Linked DNA regions of Canis lupus familiaris. Each later gene encodes a partner of the first gene's protein in a complex. Links are inferred from orthologs where the notes say so. Each region holds a gene or a part of one and is shown on either strand. Other genes may lie near its edges.

What was found.
Region 2: the proteins of GPSM2 (region 1) and NUMA1 are in contact, whole or in part, in a crystal structure (PDB 6HC2), measured with the Homo sapiens proteins. The link is inferred for Canis lupus familiaris from reciprocal best matches to the Homo sapiens genes GPSM2 and NUMA1. Residues at the interface, in NP_001307967.1 of Homo sapiens: Ala28, Leu29, Glu32, Cys35, Lys36, Phe47, Lys59, Thr60, Ser62, Ala63, Ile64, Ser66, Gln67, Asn70, Ala71, Phe73, Asn110, Lys113, Tyr146, His153, Lys157, Pro164, Gln165, Arg203, Gly206, Asn207, Asn210, Tyr213, Leu214, Arg228; in NP_006176.2 of Homo sapiens: Ser1901, Phe1902, Tyr1903, Met1904, Gly1905, Thr1906, Cys1907, Gln1908, Asp1909, Glu1910, Pro1911, Glu1912, Leu1914, Asp1916, Trp1917, Asn1918, Arg1919, Ile1920, Ala1921, Leu1923.

The regions. Positions count from the first base shown.
Region 1 is NC_049227.1:43,298,237-43,307,703, forward strand, and holds part of GPSM2 (G-protein-signaling modulator 2), read right to left. Parts: intron 8,159-9,467; coding exon 7,982-8,158; intron 5,575-7,981; coding exon 5,415-5,574; intron 4,182-5,414; coding exon 3,964-4,181; intron 1-3,963. UniProt on the Homo sapiens protein: Plays an important role in mitotic spindle pole organization via its interaction with NUMA1. Required for cortical dynein-dynactin complex recruitment during metaphase. Plays a role in metaphase spindle orientation.
Region 2 is NC_049242.1:26,189,485-26,198,826, reverse strand, and holds the end of NUMA1 (nuclear mitotic apparatus protein 1), read right to left. Parts: intron 9,093-9,342; coding exon 8,846-9,092; intron 7,937-8,845; coding exon 7,708-7,936; intron 7,028-7,707; coding exon 6,891-7,027; intron 6,530-6,890; coding exon 6,353-6,529; intron 6,143-6,352; coding exon 6,029-6,142; intron 5,761-6,028; coding exon 5,539-5,760; intron 5,204-5,538; coding exon 5,192-5,203; 3' UTR 4,460-5,191; downstream 1-4,459. Other genes in the region: IL18BP (interleukin-18-binding protein), read left to right, coding at 3,340-3,455, 3,553-3,700, 3,897-3,986. UniProt on the Homo sapiens protein: Microtubule (MT)-binding protein that plays a role in the formation and maintenance of the spindle poles and the alignement and the segregation of chromosomes during mitotic cell division.

The DNA.
Region 1 (9,467 bases):
GATTATGGGTCTATTTTCTATTCATGATTTAGTGTTGGTTGATTTTGTGTTTCTAGTTATTTAAGTCCATTTCATATGGGTTATCCAACTTGTTGGCACATAATCATTCATAGTATTCTCCTAAAATTCTTTTTATTTCTGTAGAATAAGAGTAATGTCCCCTCTTTTGTTCTAATTTTAGTAATTTGAGCCTGCCCTTTTCCTTCCCCTAGTTAAATGTTTACCAGTTGTATTCAATGTTTACCAGTTGTTAAACTTTTCAAATAACCAGGTTTAAGGTTTTATTTTTTTCTATTTTTCTGTTCTCCGTTTCCTTCCTTGTGCTAACTTTAGATTTAGTTTGTTCTTTTTCTAGCCCCTTAAGGTCTAAAGCTTTAGGCTGTTGATTTGAGATCTTTTTTATTGTAAACATTTACAGCTATAAAATTCCTAAGTACTACCTTCACTACATCCCAGAGTTTTGGAATATTGTGTTTTCATTTTCATCAGTCTCTAGGTATTTTTTAATTTCCCTTGTGATTTTTCTCTGCCCATTAATTCCCACAAATTTGTGAATTCTCCATTTTTTCTTCTGTTATTGCTTCTAACTTCATCCTGTTATGGTCAGAGAAGATACTCTATATGATATCTATCTTTTAAAATTTTGAGACTTCTTTTGTGGCCTAACATCTGAGCTATCCTGGAGAATATTCCATATGCACTTGAGAAGAATATATGTTCTGGGGATGCCTGAGTGGCTCAGTGGTTGAGCATCTGTCTCTGGCTCAGGGTGTGATCCCAGGGTCCTGGTCTCAAGTCCCACATTGAGCTCTCCTGGAGGGAGTCTGCTTCTCCCTCTGCCTGTGTCTCTGCCAGCTCTCTGTGTCTCTCATGAATAACTAAAATCTTAAAAAAAAAAAAAAAAAAAAAAGAGAGAGAGAGAGAGAGAGAGAGAGAGAGAGAGAGAGAAAAGTATGTTCTATAAGAACTAGCTGGTTTATTGTGTTGTTCATTTTATCATCTGCCTGGCTGTCCTACTTATTATTGAGAGAGGGTGCTCCAACTATTTTTGTAGAAATGTTCACTTCTCCCTTTAATGCTGTCAGTTTTTGCTTCATTTATATCTATCTGATGGTCTGTAATTAGTTATGGGTCTTTAGAATTTTTTTAAAAACCCATGGGATCACTGTTACTTTTCACTTCTAAACCTTTCATTTCCTTACTTTCCCTTCTTAGATGCAGCCTAGATTTCAAGTCCCTTATTAAAATCATTCCCTGGCATGTGTTTCTCTCTCCCTCCATCCTATTCTGTCAAAATACTGACCTTGATTAAATCTCTGTATCCTTAAGTAACTGGTTATGCCTCGAGAAAATACACCACTGTACTGACCTGTCTTACTTCAGTGACAGTGAATTTCAAATGAGTCCTCAGGGTAGCTCAATAATCCTATTACTTTTCCCTGGTCAATATGCTTTCAGTTTCTCAAAGTAACTTCTTCAAAATCACAATGCTTCAACCCCAATCTCCAATTATGTCCCTACTTCTTACTTTGCTAAGAAAATAAAAACAACCAGAGAGAAGTCCTATCTACACCTATCTCTAAATCTGTAAACATATATATATATATATTCTGCTTTCCTTCTCACCTGCACAAAAACTTCAATTATCCCATATTCTGCTGCATCACTGGTTCTTCCCTCTACTTGATCATTTACATCAAGAGACATGCAGTATTAACTCCCAAAATAAGAAAAAAAAACCCCACCTCTATCCTATGTTTACTATTTCCCCCTTCACGCTTTCCATGTTTTCAACCTCCTCAATCCTGTGTCCCCATCATGTCCCTAAAACAGTGTCTTTCAAAATGACTAATAATCTGCATGTTGCCAAATCTAGATCAGCCATCATCTTAGTTGGCTTCTTAGCAGCGTTTGACAGAGTTCAACATTCCTTAAAACACTTTGCCATATAAAGGAGTAGGGTATCTAGGGGTGTTGGTGGTTAAGGAAGATGTTCCAGGACTGGCATGTGAACAGAGATATGAATGAGGTGAAACAGCCATGTGAATATTTAGTGAAAGCATTCCTCCAGGCTGATGGCTGCTTTGCTGGCTTATCTTCCTCTATTCCGTTCAATTTTGTAATGCCCAGAGCTTAGTCTTCGTGTTTCCTTATCTATTCTTTAGATACTATCTTCCCAAAGCTTTAATACCAGCTATATACCAGTCATCAGTATATAGCGGATGACTCCCCAAGTCTTTTCTCTCTGGGGCTCCAGATTTTTATATATCCAATTGCTTATTCAACATCTCCACTTGAGTATCTACTTACATAACTCAAATTTATCTACCTAAAGTACATCTCCTGCTTTTTCTTCCCAAACCTCTTTCTCCTTTGACTTCTCCATTTCAGTAAACTGTACCATTCACAGATTCAGTTGTTCAAAGCCAACAAGGTTGGAACCCTCTTTGATTATTTTTCTTTCTTATAACTCCCATCCATTTATTAATAGGTCTTTCCAATCCAACCATAACTTCAAAATATATCCCTATTTCAACTGCTACTTATCATCTCTCCTAACACCATTACACTAGTCAAAGTCACCAGTATCTTTTCCCTGAATTACCCATGTTGGTTTTCTTTCTTTTCTTTTTTCAAGATTTTATTTATTTATTCATGAAAGACACAGAGAGAGAGGCAGAGACACAGGCAGAGGGAGAAGCAGGCTCCACGCAGGAAGCCCAATGTGGGACCTGATCCCAGAACTCCAGGATCATGCCTCAAGCCAAAGGCAGATGCTCAACCACTGAGCCACCCAGGTATCCCCCCATACTGGTTTTTTAGCTAGTTTTCCTACTAACTCTTTGGCACTTCACATACTTTCAGCAGTAGCTGGGATGATCTTCCAGACCCTCCAATGTCTTACTATCACATTTGGGATACAAGACCTCATCATAGCCTATAAGATCTAGGCTGGTTCTTTCTCCATCCTCATCTCCTACTGCTCTCCCTTACCCTTTATTCACTCCACACCGGTCATACTGGCAACCTTGCCATTCCTTGAACCTGCTAAGCTTTTATAGCCAAGAAGAGACTTGCTGTGTCTGCATGGAATGCTTCCACTAAATATTCACATGGCTGTTTTGCCTCATTCAGATCTCTGTTCACATGGAACATCTTCCCTAACCACCACCACCACTAGATACCTTACTCCTTTATGTGGCTTTAATTTTCTTTATAGCAAGTATCAGTGTCTAACATATAATATCTATACATATGTACAGACTTATTTACTGTCTCTCCTAAAGGATCCTAAAATGTAGGCTCCTTTAAAGGCCAAGTATGTGTCTCAAATGTCTAGACTAGTGCCAAGAACACAGTGTACGCTCAATAATTTTCTGTTGAATGAATGAGAGGTAGGTAGTATGTATGTGTCATTATGTCATTACCTCATCTTTTTATGAATGAGAAAACACACAGAATCAGGGTCAGACAGAGGAAATGTCTCTTTAGTGAAAATAAGGATTATTTTTCTGGTTCTATTCAAGCCATTTGAGATATTCCTTAACCATTTTGGCAAATAATTATTAAAATAACTAAAAACGAAAGCTATCTTGGTATGTGAATTTCTCCTAAAGCAGTCTAGAAAGGGCTCCCGCTAGACTCTCCCCATTAATCACTGGCTTTTCCTGATACTCTCTCCTACCATTGATAAAAGAGGGTGTCTTTTCTAGGTCTCCTTCCCTACCTTTCATAATTTCCTCTCCACCACAGCTCAGAGTCATCAGCAACATCTCATCTTGCCTTACCACCCAAAATGATACAAAGAAACTATCATAGGAATCTAAAGAGTCTGATGGACCCCTGAATGGTAAGTGTGTCCCTAATACAAAATAAGCCCTTCCCAGATTAGAATTATAATACTGCCAAAGCTCTCAACAGTATCTGAGCCATACACAGAATGACAAAAATATGCATACATACTTGACATTTTACAAGGATGTCAAAGAAATCTTCATCAGGCTCTTTGTTGTCATTAGTCATCAGGTGGCCAAGTACAGACTTATTGTTGTTTTGTGTTAGACGAAGCCCTGGCAAATTACTGAAACTGGCCCTTTGGTCATCAAGACGGCGGCTCTGTGAGCTGGCAAGAAGGTCTAAAAACTCATCCGTGTTGGGGGACACCATGGAAACAGATGGTGCTATGAATAGGAAAAAAATCCGTAACATCACAAAAATATTTAAGCATATTTTTAATATACATATAGTTCCTTTCAGCCTTGTTCAGTCCCAACATCCACTCTGTCCCCCTGCTTTAGCTTTGTCACTGAGAGTCACTGATACACTGGGGCCTATGATATGGGCAGGTAGGGAAGAACAAATCCCAGAGTACTTCAGATGATCCACTTAAAGGTTATTCAGATTAGACTATATTTCTTTTTATCTATGCCCACTCAAAATATAACTTTACAAGGGGTGCCTAGGTGGCTCAGTCAGTTAGGTGTTCAACTCTTGATCGCAGCTCAGGTCTTGATCTTATGGTCGTTGAGTTTGAGCCCTGTGTTGGGCTCTATGCTGGGCATGGAGCCTACTGCCCCCCAAAAAGATAACTCTACAAGATCTGGGGCTAGATTTCAGAAGGTAATACATTGTCTTATATCATTTCTCACGTGAGGATGAATGAGACAGTCTTTATTCTATGCCCTGGATAGGAACCATTTAGCTAACTAAGAGTTAAGTCCTAGTCTATGGCAGAGGAAGTCTTTTGGTAGCTGAAGTAGAAAATTTTAAGTAACCCTTCTAAGGCTCAGGCAGGCCTTAGCTTCCGCCTTAGTCATAGGTTTCTCCTCAGTCTGTCTTGGCTTTTTAAAAATCCAGATAGGGGGATCCCTGGGTGGCGCAGTGGTTTGGCGCCTGCCTTTGGCCCAGGGCGCGATCCTGGAGACCCGGGATCGAATCCCACATCGGGCTCCCGGTGCATGGAGCCTGCTTCTCCCTCTGCCTGTGTCTCTGCCTCTCTCTCTCTCTCTCTCTCTCTGTGACTATCATAAATAAATAAAAATTTAAAAAAAAAATAAAAATAAAAATCCAGATAGGAAGCATTTGTGATTTACACAGAATTATAAGGTATGTATAACTTAAATTTTTCCCTTTACTATTTTTACTTTTAAAGTTAGATTTTTTTCCCAGTCCCAAAGACTCTAAGGAGACAGTATGTTACAGTTAGTTGAAAGTGCACTGAACTAAAATACAAATAAACCTAGGGGAACTGAAACAAAACTTTGTTCTGAACTGAAGAAATACCAGCATTTCAGATACACCTGGGTTCAGGTTCATTTACTGTACTTGCACTGAAGAAAACTGAACTCTCAGAAAGAAATCACACGAATATCAAAGGAAACTATTAAAATTGGGGGAGAACCACAATTACTCACTTTTAAGCATCACTCTAGGGGGAGTGGAAGACGCTGCAGTTGAAGCTGGCCCACAGCTCTGTTCCTGTAAACAGCACCTCTGATCATCCATCCGATTGCTCTGAAATCGGCTTACCAGGTCAAAGAACCCTTCATCTCCAATAGTATCTGTACTGACTTTCTGAAATATTGAGAGAAAAATCTTAATATTCCAGCATTATCATCACATCATCAATGGAGCAAAATCATGATACATATGCAAAAGATAAAGGATGAAGATTAAAAATAAAAATTGACATTTTCATTATAAAGATTTCAAGATGGCAACCTTGATAATAAAGTTATTTCAATCCAACTAATAAAAAGCATTTCTCGTTATATTTTATTTATTCTAGTTATGTATTTTAATTTTTAATCCTTGTAATTTCTAAGGCTAAAGAAATGTACCTCAGACTCTGGGGAACTACTTCAGATACTAAAAGATTTATATAAAAATTAAGTGATCCTAGGCTCAAAGTTCAGTTTTAAGATTCTACAAAAGAATTTAAAAGTAAATTAATCTCTCTAAGAACTTAAAACTAACAAAGCATAGTGATTTTCCAAGGTCCTTTACTATATTTAAAGATTTGAAGCTCTTTAAAAAAACATAAACCTCATATAAATAAATATTTAGGGCAGAAGGAAACCCGTCATACTTTACTTGGAAACTTCAAAGCTTAAAATGACAGATGCAATGTTTAATAAAAAATATTTTGTTTTTCATAATGATATAAGTATTATGGTAGAGGTACATTTATATAAAAAATTATAGGCTTCAGGAGACGGGCAAAACTAATCCTTTAGGGAAACTGTGATATTTGAATTGGCTCCTGAAGAATGAATTCACATTTACAGGTATATGCTTCATAGTGATTAATATGCGATGCTAAAAGTTTGTAGTATTCAGGGGATAATGAACTAAAGGGGGTAGGAGAGGTGAAGAGGTGGGAAGAGGCCACCAAACAAGAGCCTCTGTATGACATACTAACAAGTTATCCTATATGAAGTAAGAGGAGCATTGGTAATAATAATTTTAAGCAGCTTTGAACAGAAACAGAACTGGCCCCTCCAAATGGCTGCAGAGGTTAATGCAGGGAAAGCAATCAGCTCAGTTGCCTATTCCAAACATCTGGGTAAGAGATACAGTAATGCACTAAGGACTATGACATACATAGCAGCAGAGGTTTATTTTCAGAAAGAAGGGGCCGGAGGCAGATCTGAGGGATGCAGGGATTGACTGGATGTGGTTAGTGAAAAGAGGGAGTCTAGAATGACACCTGGGTTCCTAACCTGGGGGACAGAGAACATGGCATATATTAAGGGAAACAGGAGGGGTTCAGAGTACAGTTCTTAACATGTTTAGTTTGAGGACTGGGATTAAGTATGTACATAAGCTGTAGTCAGATGCACTTGTAATCACTCACAAGACTTTCCTAGGGGCAAAAAAGGCTTGAATTCAAAATACTGAACATCAAAACACAGGGAGGCCTCAGAAGTATGGACATTTTCAGTTGGGCTAAGTGGGCTTAGTTAAGACCTCAAACCTTGAACAAAGGTATGCCTCTGAGATCTGCTCTAGGTCTAAAAAAATATTCATGGTCCATTATATACCCCATAATATTTCCTTTTGTTAGTCATACACTTGGAAAAAACTACTGATAAAAATCAAGACAAAGGACACCACCAGGGTACAGACATAGGTGGAATGCTGATAAGAGAACCAAAAGAAAGCTGTAAGAAAGAAAGAAAAGAAAGAAAGAAAGAAAGAAAGAAAGAAAGAAAGAAAGAAAGAAAGAAAGAAAGAAAGAAAAGAAAGAAAAGAAAGAAAGAAAGAAAAGAAAGAAAGAAAGAAAGAAAGAAAGAAAGAAAGAAAGAAAGAAAGAAAGAAAGAAAGAAAGAAAGAAAGAAAGAAAGAAAGAAAAAGACTACCATAAGTTTTCCAAAAGCTCTCATTGAAAAATGGACTTGATAATTTGACGTATCATCTTTGTGATTTATTTTGATTCTTTTATCAGAGTGCAGGTTAGCTTAATTAAAGATACTTCTGATATTTAGAAATAAAATATTATATAGTTATATTTAGTAATCTGAGTCCTGTGATCACTTTTCATCAAAATAGTTTTTAATTCTATTATAATTTCAGTATAAATAAATAGAAATTGATGCTAGCAGATACTATCTTAAATTAGTATTTTAAAATCCTTCAACCTCTAAGTTTAATTTGTTCTAACTTCTAAACTGAAAGAAGGACAGTTTTACTGGGAGACACTGCAGTAAAAAAAAAAAAAAAAAAAAAAAAGATAGTATTTTTGCAAACAATGACAAACAATTACTATCCAAAGTAGTAAAGCAACATATCCATGAATGGAGTAATTATAGTTTCTAGCTTGAAAAAGAAAAGATAGGGAAATATGCAAGACTTCTTTGAATAAAAACAGTATTTTGTATTAAATGTCTAATACAAATTACGGAATATTCAGTCTGAATACAAGAAAACTAAAATGTAGATATTTGAAGCACAACACTCAAAAACTTATTATTATACGTACCCTCTGAGAATTTGGAATTCGGCGATCAATGGAATTACTGGCATCCTGGAGAACTTTAGTGGAGGAATTAGTTTTGCACTTTTTCCCCTTTAATCTGTTGACAAAGAGCAACTTTGCAGAAGGTTTGGCAATAAGAGGCTTTTGTTTAGCAAGAATTTCACTGTTCCAGTTCTGTACCTATAAAATTATAAACATAAATGGAAAGCAGGGCATGAAAAAACAGAGCTATCTTTGGTTTTCTATAATATTAACCTGTCTTACCTGTCTTCACCGCCCATTTTGTGTGTGGGGCAGCTTAGATCTCTTAATAAATTCCTTTTTGCCAGTATTTCTATTTTCAACAGCTTATACCAAACGTATACTGTGGACTTCTCATTATCAAAACATTAAAATGGTGACTTTTAAGAACTTAAGAGTAATAAAACAGAGTTTGCCAAAATCCCATAAAAATAAAATTTGAGGGGACCCCTGGGTGGCTCAGCGGTTTGGCGCCTGCCTTTAGCCCAGGGCATGAACCTGGAGACCTGGGATCAAGTCTCATATCAGGCTCCCTGCGTGGAGCTTGCTTCTCCCTCTGCCTGTGTCTCTGCCTCTCTCTCTCTCTCTCTCTCTCTCTCTCTCTGTGGTCTCTCATAAATGAATAAATAAAATCTTAAAAATAAAATTAAAATAAAATAAAATTTGGTCAGGGAAAGAGCAAGTTTTATTCTGGATAAGAGTTAATTAAAAATGTTACAACTGGAAATTTTGGACATATGCAGAATTTTAAACTGTAGAAATTAATATCTAAAACTTACATAGCTGTAGCAATTTTTTGGTGATACTTTTTGTTTTCACTAACTACTAAATTCTCAACAGGCAAAAACCATCTAATGAGCAATTTATATAGGCCTAGATCTGGTTTAAATATACTTAACCTCTAAAAAACAGACTCAATATAAAAAATATTTACTGAGTAGAAAGGAAAACACACAGTATGTACAGTAGCTACGTGACATTTGCAACTTTAACATTTCAATCTTGTTTGTAAGTAAATCCAAAGGTCTATGTTATGTAATAACTGATAATTTTGATAAAACATGCTTTTTTTGTAGTTACCTCATGAGGCACAAATTAGAGTTAGGTCCTGCCCTCAGGCTACCATACCTCAGAGAGACAGGCAGCTAGTGAGGAAACCAAGCTATCTGCATCAAATGAAGCTTTTTTCTCTCCCTCTGTTCCTTTTCTTATACAGGTTATAAGGGGAAGGTGATACTACTGCTGGAGTGAACTTCAAGGTCTCCTGATTTTAGAGACAGTAAATGGCCCCAGATGTTAGAACACCTAAATCCCAAGTAGAAATGTGAAAAACTTTAAATGTTTCCTATATACTTATTTGGACTTCTCTCTCTCTCCCTTTTAAAGATTTTATTTATTTATTCATGAGATACAGAGAGAGGCAGAGACACAGGCAGAGGGAGAAGCAGGCTCCTTGCAAGGGAGCCTG
Region 2 (9,342 bases), on another chromosome or scaffold:
GCTTCTGTCCCGTGGCAGAAGGGCACTGGAGCATCACTGGGTGACTCTCTCCTCACCGCCTGAGGTCAGTGCCCTTCTATGGCACCCCTTCTCATGGGCCACTCTCAACTTCGGCTTCTCATATCCAGCTATGGCTTCTCATGGTCCCCCACTGCTTATACCAGTGGGCCCATGCTCAGAGAATGGAATGAGGACCAGTTGTAGGGTCCAGGATCATCCTTTCACTCTTGTCCCCCAATCCCTACGCATCAGACTCACATGAAAAGCCGAGACCCAGCTGTCCAAGGCTCTCTTTTCATACTTCATCAAGCCTGAGTCCCATGACCTCCCAGCAGCCCAACTCTTATCTTGGTTCCACTCTGAGGTAGAGTCCTGTCTCCTCTCCCTCCCATCTCCTAATCCCATTTCCCAAAAGACTGTGTCTCAGAAGCCCCAAGCAGCCTTACCTCCTGACCCAAGAGCTGCAGATACTGGCACTCCCATGGGGGAGCTTCATGACTCATCCTCCAAACCTAGTTCCATCTTCCTGGCTCCCTGGAGGAGATGGGAGATGGCTCCCCATCTCCTCCCTGGCTCCCTGGCTTTGTCCCCAGCAATTCCATCCCTCTGATTCCAGAGACCACAGACCTCGGACACTTGGTCTTGTTCTTCATGTTTGATCGGTGTGTGGACTGGGTCACCAGTGCTGGTCTTTCTGCCTCCATAGACACTGGTACGACCCTGATAGTGAGTGCATGCCTCCTCCGGCTTTGCATCCCAGGTGCCTTACTGCCTTCCCCTAGTGCTGGCCCTGCCGCAGCCCCAGCTCCATTTGTCCCATCATCTACCAGACTGGTGCATTTGTATAGCTCTGTTGTTGTCGGGGCCAGTGCTAGGCTGCTTGCTCCCTCTCCTCCCTGGGAAGTGCCCTCTCCTCTTTTAGGGCCAGTGCTCCAGCTGGTGTTCAAGTCCTCAGCCTGGTTCTGAGACGTTTCTGCACACAAGGCCGGAGGGTGCTGTCAGCATAGTTCCTGAGGCATGGCTTACGCGGGGCCGAACACAGCCGGACTGAGTGGAGCTTCAAGAACGGGGATTCTGAAAAAGAGGGCTCCTCAGGGCTTCTCGAGAGCCAGGTAGGGAGAGGTCTAGACTTCCTAGTGAACCTAGACCTATAGCTCTGGCCAAGGGGCTGGGATGAGATAAGCGAGAAGGCTGTGCAGGGGTGATGGGTGGGTGGGGGTTGGAGGGAGTAGCAAGCCAGAGAAAGGCCAGGATGATAGACTGATGTGACCCTGAAATGGTCAAAGTGATCCAACTTGGGGTCTCCAGTAACTAGGAGAGTTGACCCCTTGAATATCGGTGTGAATGTGAAAGAACATGAGGCCTGCTCATGTAGAAGCAAGGGCTGGTTCTGAAGAGCAAAGGTGGACGCCAAAGTTCTGACCCTTGGCTGGGACAGAAGAATCCACCTGTGAGAGACTCTTCATGAGTTCATACCATCTGTATCCCTGGGAGGGTAAAGCCAAGGGGGCAGGAAGATTCCAGGCCACCATGAATTTTGGTTCCAGAAGTGCAGTGTACAGGCTGGCATCTTGCTTGTGTAACTTGTTACTCAGAGCCTGCTTTAGATTTCCCAGTTAAAAAAAGCGAAAGTGAAATAGGGGGGGCGGGCAGTGCTTTCCCAGCAGGACTTCACTAATCCTGCCCTTCCCAGAACCAGCTCCAGCAAAGAGGGCTTTGCCTCTCTTTGTAGTAGTGTCCCTGGCCCCTCTCTGGGTCCCTTTCTTCATCCCTGTAATGAAGGGGTTAGTTAGGGTGGACTCATAATCAGCATGTTAATGGTACTAAGAGCTAGTAGGATGGGGAAAGACTGTCACTAGATGGTCTTTAGCTTTGTTGCTAAGTGCGGAAAGCCCCAGCCTTTGCTGGATGCCTGGAGCAAAGTAGCAGTGCCTGGCAGCCCATTCAGAGGTCAGACCCAGGAAGAGCTGTGGAATATACAGGAAGGACAGGCCCATACAAATGGCTGGGATCCAGGCAAGCCAGAGATGTGAGATAAATGGTTGATTTACATTCTCTTCCGCCCCCAGCTCGAGAGAGGAGGAAGTGGTCACAGATAAATAGAGCCAGGCACGCCAGCTCTTGACACATCCGTCAAGACCATGAGACAGAACTGGACATCAGGTGGGACCTGGGGCTGGCATGGGCGGGGGGTCGGGGGTGGGGGGTGGGATTTGAGAACAGAAGGGAGCCGTGCAGGCGGCCCTGAGCCTTCCCCCCCGAGGGAACTCCATTCTGCTGTTACGGCTTTCAGCCTGTGTCCAGATGCTGTGGTTCTGGCTCCAGTCCCTAAGTCTCCCTGCGCTCCATTCCAACATGCGGGGCCTGAGGAACCCTTCTGCTCCTCTGACCCCCTGTGCAGAGCCCAGGTATCTCTGCGCCAGAGTGTGTCCAGGCCAGGATGTTGAGCATTCCTAGCAGACAGCCCTGGCCTTTGTGTCCTGCTCTCAGATCCCAGCCCTTTGCGGGTCCTGCTTTTGTGTGTGCACATGTTCTGTCACCTGGCTGGAGCCACACCTGTACCTCAGGCCACTGCTGCTGCCTCAGCTGGGATCACAAAGGACTCCTGCCTCTCCTGGCTCCTGACAGCTAAGCAGTGCCCAGCACTGGAGGTGACCGGGCCAGAAGTGGAAGTCCCGCTGAGTAAGGAGCAATTCTGATGGAAGCCCCAAAGGACATAGTGGGCAGGGGTGGGTTTGGGGCACAGAGAGTCCAAGGGTGGGGTTGATTCCCGAGCTTCCCACCCTACCCCACCTACTGCCATGTAGCCCCACCAGCCAGGCCAGCCTGCTAGAGCACTCGGCATGTTCCCTCCGAGTGAGTGTGGGTACAGGGCCCAGCTCCTGAGATGCTCCCTATCCGGTGGGATGGAAAGAGTTCAGACACAAGGATGGTCAGAGGGCCCCAGGGCCTTGACTGCAATACGTTACAAGGCCCGCCTGCCCACCCCGACTCCAGTCTCCAGCCCCCTCACTCGCTGGCCACCTCAGAAGAGCAGTGGCCTCCTGCTGCCGCCTCCTTGGCCAGGGCTCTTAGTCACCAATGGTGAACACTAGAAAAGGCCATCCTGAAGAAAACAGGCTCAGGAGTCCTCACCTGAACCAAGGACCCATCCCCAGATCCCTTTTGTTCAGCCTTGGGCCTCCCTTGTAAACAAGTACACTTCCCAGTTAACGGACTTCCCCACCTGGGTGGTGCGTACAACAGCACTCTGGGTTCCTGAATTGTGGGGACTGGGGGACTTGGGGGCAGGGCAGCACGGCAGAGGGGAGCTAACAGCCACACGTGTCTTTAGATGGAATGCTGACCTTGTCCTGTACTGCCTGCAGCCGCTCTCCCTTCAACATCCTCTTCTGGATGGGCAATGGCTCCTTCATCGAGCACCTCCCAGGTCGGCTGAGGGAGGGCAGCACCAGGTGAGGAGTGCGGTGGGGAGGTCAGCCAACATGGTTGGAGGGGGGCGGGGAGAGGGGCTTCTTCTGCCATCCTCTCATGGCCTTCACTCCTCTTTAGCAGGGAGTCCAGGGGTGAACACACCCAGCTGCGGAGGACTCTGGTGCTAGAGGAGCTGAGCCCCACCCTGCGCAACACCGACTTCTCTTGTGTCTTTGCTGATCCCTCGCACACTACCCAGCAGCATGTTGTCCTGGCCCAGCTCTGGGTGAGAAAACTGAGGGAAGGTTTCCACGGACAGCAGGAGCAGTATGGGGAGGAAAGGGTGGGCTCTGCCCAGAGTGGCCTCCAGCTAATGTCCACCGTGGAGTTCAGGACTCGGGCAGGGGAGGCATGGCTTGGAGGAAGGTGACGAGAGGTCAGCCACCCTTGGCGCTGACCCTTGTCTGCCTTCTCTTCCCCAGGCTGGGCTGGAGACTGTGGCGCCTTCTACCCAAGAAGCCCCACCCTCCAGCAGCCCCCTCTCCCGCCTCATCACGACGGAGAAATTCTGAAGCCTAATTGAGTCGTCACATCTTCACTGAGGTCTCCATGCTCTCACAACTCAGGCCTCCTCCGGCATTGCCTTCATGTTGTATTCTTCCTTTTTCCTTCTAATGCACTGTCCCCACTAAGGGACAGGGGTGAACGCTGTGTCTGGTCCCCAGCTGTGTCTCTGTCACACCCAGCAGGGCCCACAGGGACATGCATAAATGGTTTGTCAATGAAGGCATCTGCTCTGTCATTTAAGCCATCATTCCACTTACAGAACTTGGCTCCTTCTAGGAGGGAGTGTGGGAAGAGGGACTGTTATTCAGAAGCTAAAGGCCAAAACCAGGGGATACCAGCCTTCAAAAGAGGAGAAAGTGTGGAAAGATCCTGGTGCCCCAGAAAGACCAGGAGAAAGGATTGGAGAAGGTAGGTAGTCTGGAAAACTTGTGCTCTAAAGAGCCTACATTTCCCCTTCCCCCACAGACCCAGACCGCACTTAAGGGAGAAAAATAGACTTTATTTACAAGTAATAACATTTAGAAAAGATCCATCCCTGGCCCTTAAAAACCTTCCCATCACTCCAAATCCCACCCCAGTAGAAGTCTGGGGAAGGTGGGAAATAAGCGGCAGCTGAGGCGGCCCCCCGACCCCACCCTGCTGCCCCTGCTGCCACACACAGGCATGGGACCCATCTGTTCTGGAAAAGAGCATCTCTGGGCATCTGAGCCTTTTGGTGGATGGGAGAACCTCTGGGTGCACCCACTAGGTCAATGCCAAGTCCTGGACTTCAAAAAGCAAAGGGCCCTGCTAGATTCGGGAACCAGGAGCAGCAGGGACTGGGGCCTGCTCCTCCAATGGTCCCTTGTGAATCCAGAGGCTGAGGAGGACTGACTCAGCCCTCAGGCCCAGCCGCTCAAAGCCGGCCTCAAGTCTGGTTGTGATGGACAAGCGACTTTGCTTTATGAAAACATGAGGCAAGGTAGGGAGAAGACCTAGACTCTCCAGGCCTCTGGGGCCAACTCTGAGGACACATCTGTTCACCTAGTGAAGGCTCCAATGAAGATCGAGGTACCAGGCCGGGGTGTGGGCAGACATCACTGTCTCTACGGGTTTGGCCACTTTTGGCCTGGGAGCTGAGAGAAGGCACTGAAAGGGACAGCAGAAGGAAAAGGACCAGGCGAGGTCGGCATTGAGGACACAGGTGGGGCCTCTCACTGGTCCTGGCCCTTTAGTGCTTTGCCTAAAAGAGAGAAACACAATCACTTGGCTGACAACTCGTGATACCAGCCTGTACCGGATGGCTGCAGGAGGCCTCTTTTAGCTCCTGAAGCCCCCTGACTACCTTCCCTTCCATGGGGTGACCTGGACACATCTACTTGCAGATTATTGGATCCCGGCTGTGCCTAAACAGCCTTGGGTCTCCTCTCTTCCACGAGCAGGTAACCAAGACAGGAAGTGCCCACATTTAGCCCACCTCCAGCAGCCTAGCTGGGCCCTGCCTTGGAAACCTCCCGAGGGGTGGCCTGGGGGTGTGCCATACTTCTACCCACTTCCCTTCCCCATCAGTGCCTCCACCTTGCCCTTGGCCCGAGGGGTGGCAGTGGCAGCAGCGATGGCAGCCGCCGTGGCAGCGCTGGCTGCAGTGGTGGCGATGCGTGGAGAGCGGCGGGTCCCGCCACGGGTGTTGGGGGAGGCCTTGGACAGGGCTTTCTTTGAGGCTCCCCTCCGCAGCAGGCTGTTTCCGAGCTTCTTGGGTGTATTGAGGATGCTGAAAGCCATTGACTGGCGGCGGTCAGCCTGTTGGGGAGGGAGGGGCTGTCAGACTGGGCTGCGTTCATGCCCTGCCACCAAGGTCCCTCCAGGGGCTCCCTCCAGCCTCCCGCACTGACCTATTTTTTTTTTTTTTTTTTAATTCATGAGAGAGACCTAGACCTAAGGAGAGGGAGAAGCAGGCTCCATGCAAGGAACCTGATGTGGGACTTGATCCCAGGGCAGAAGGCAGGCACTCAATGGCTGAGCCACCCAGGCGTCTGTGTCATATCCACCCCGCCACCCCCACATTGACCTGCTTAACAACCGGAGCGGCTTTCTTCTGGGCCTCAGTAGTGCTCTGTTTGCGCCCTTCGTGTCGGTCCCGGGGAGTCATGGGGCGTGGGAAACAGCTGGTGGCCTTCTTAGACTATGGGGAAGAGAGGTTCATATCCAGAGCCAGGCGTGTCTCTCAGAGCCAAGGGGGCCTGTAAGTCAACACCGCCTCCCTTCCCAACCGTCCCTGCATTGAGCCCCTGGAGAGTGAAGACTCTCTATTAATCCACTTTTCAAACTTGGGTAGCGGGGCTTGGCCTGGGCAAGCTATACACGGAATAAAGAAGGAGCCAGGGCCACCTACCTCGGGGGTACCAGGGCCCTGGTGGGGCTCTGAGGAGACCCGTTTGCGCTGCTGCCGGGTGGTGATGCCCGTGCCCTCGGCTATCTGGGCCGGCTGCATGCTGGCTCGGCGCAGGGTCTCCCGGGGGTCGCCAGTTTTCATCTCCTCATCTGTGATGGTAGCCAGGCTCAGGGAAGGCTGTGTGGGGTGGAAGGAGTGGTCAGTGGGGCACAACTGCCCCAGAACAACTCATGGGCCTGGCACGTACAGTAGCTCAGCAGCTCAAGCCTTCCCGTGGGCCGCAGGCCTCCCTTCCTGTTGTCTTCTCTCCTGCCCTACACGATGGCCACAGGAGGAGACCGGAACAGACCTCCTCCACACACTCAGGCCTGCCCACGGGGACTTCACCCCGAGCCCCTCTGTGCCAGCTACCCACTGGAAGCACACCGTCACCCTCTGCAGCAGGCCAGAGACCCAGGGCACTAGGGCCAGTGGGTAGTATTGGGGTGGTGTGCCAAGGGAGGAGGAGGAGGGGAGCCAGCATGGGGCCCGAGCTCACCCTGGACTCCAGGGGGTAGCAGGTCTTCAAGTGTGGGGGGCACACCCGGTTGCGCTGCTGCAACTCCGCGATGCGGTTCCAGTCATCCAGCTGCTCTGGTTCATCCTGGCAAGTGCCCATGTAGAAGCTGTTCCTTCCTGTGGAGAGAGAGCAGGGAGATGGGAGCAGGGGGGCTGGAAGGCCAGGAAGAGTGAGGAGAGTGGCAGCGGGTCATTCCCTGGTCCTGGTGCCGTGCCAACCGTTGCATCCGCCACTCCTGTCCCTGTGTGTGGACCTACTTCAAGCCTAGGGCCCCAGAGTCCTGCTCTGCTCAGTGCTGCAGATCCAGGAGTGGGGCTCACGGGCCATTTTTACCACCAGGGCTGGCTCACTGCTCTCCCCCTGGGGAGGTTCAAAGAGCTCATCTGCAGAGGCTGTGACATCTTAGAGGCACTAATTAAGGACAAGGAATTGAGATCTAGGGGTCCTGAGGGCAAAAGCCTTCAACAAGAATCTAAGAACACTGGCCCAGCAAGGCTCTTCTGGCACCCCTTACCACGAGATGGGGTAACAGGAGCTGAGTGTCGCTGTCACACTGGCAATCCCACCCCCTGTGAGCAGTTCCCATTCACCCTGGCTGAGATGAACACCCGCCCTCTGCCCAGCGGAGCCCCTGGACCAACAGGCAAGGCCCTGAGACGGCAAGGAAGAGGGGCAGGTGAGGAGCCGGAAGGCAACCAGCCTCGGGGTTTTGAAAGCTTGTCTCTTTCCTGTGCCAGGATCTCCTCCCCGTCTCATCTTCATCTTTGTGTGTGCAAAACCCCTCTGGTCCCCTCACCTGGAGGGGCCCCACTGGACACCCCAGCCTGGGAGCGGCGAGCAGAGCTGCGAGTGGTGGGCCGGTAGCCAGGAAGGCTGAGCAGAGCCGAGTTGCCGTCATCAGGGGAGCCTAGGCGAGCTAGAGACTGGGTAGAAGAGGTGGCGCGTGGGCCGGCCTGGGAGGCAGGGGCCGACTGTGTGCTGTAGAAGGAGGAATTGGCACTATCCGGCTCTTCCACGTCTAGCTTCTGGAAGAGAGAATGAAAGTGGTGGGGCGGAGTCCTGACAACCCATGAACCCATGCCGAGGCTGCCTGTTCCCCTCCCCTGAGCGCCTCACATCCCAGCACCACACTGTGTGTCATGTCCCGTCCCGTGCCCTGCCCTCCCCCCCCCCCCCCCCCCCCCGGATCCTTAGCTGCACATGTGTAAGAACTCGGCTTGGGGACTAAGATTCCTACACTAGGTGCTGAGGTGACCTCATTTTCTCTTGCCTACTGACAGTGCATAGTAGTAGCAGAAGGCAGAGTATGTAGCAGATCATTTTAGAATCCAAGTGCAAGGAAATAAGTGATCAACCTCCAGGCCACAGCTAGCAAGGGCTGAGCTGGGGCTGCAATGCTTGCTTGTCCCCTGCTTGTCTCTCGGGGCCATCAGGCTCCTCCCACAGCTTCTGCCGTCCTTCAACCCAAGCCTGCCAGCGCCCTGCCCATTGTGTAGTTCTCCAGCTTCCTGGTAGCAAGGGCAACCCACACACAAGAGGGGACCTCTGCCGTACCCCCCAACCTCCTCAGGATACGGAGACAAGGGCCAGTCAGAGCCCGCAGCCTGGCGAGCAGCCCTCTGCGGGGGCCACAGTGCACGGCAGCTACCTCGGAGGCGTGGAGGCCCGGGGTGAGGCTACGACTTCCCTCTCCCTCCGGCTTGCACAGGATCAGTGCCTCCAAGCCAGGAGGCATCCAGGTCTAACCTTGCCCCTTCCTACAAAAGAGGCCTCACCTATCCTTGTACTGCTTGGGGTCTTAGCTTTTCCATCTGTAAGATATGGACTAGTCAGCCCTGCCCGTCTCTGGAGGGTGTTGTGAGGGCCCAATGGGAAAGACGCCCTTACGAGCAAGGAAGGGCACTGTCCTGCAGCCCCACTCCCAGCGGCCTGACCTTGGTCATGGTGATGTTGATGATTTGTGTGGTGCGCCGACGAGCAGAGCGTGTCTTCCGGCCTGAGTCCAGGAAGCCGTCCCCCAGGGAGTCCAGGCTGCTCTCCAGTGGGGCCTGACCCCGAGCAGGGATGGGGGTGAAGTAGAGAGACTCCAGGGATTCTACCTTGGGGGGCAAGCGCTGGGAGATGGGCGAGGCTGGCTCTCCGGGGATGCTGGTACCATCTGGCTGGGTTCGGGGCAGCTTGCTGTGGAAAAAACATTTTGTTCATTCCTTTGATCCAAAGTGGCCAATTCCTACATTTATAAGCAGACCAGGTCAAGCACCCCACTCTCACTCTGACTTTTGAGAGGCACCAGGGAAGAGTCTTTGCCCTGGGCCCTCCCTTCACCCCATTCTCCATTCCTGGTGAGCCCATCTACTCCAGTGGCTCTCTGAGCTCCTGAACACTGGCAACTCCTGGACTCCACTGTCCCAGACATCCCCATCCACCCCGC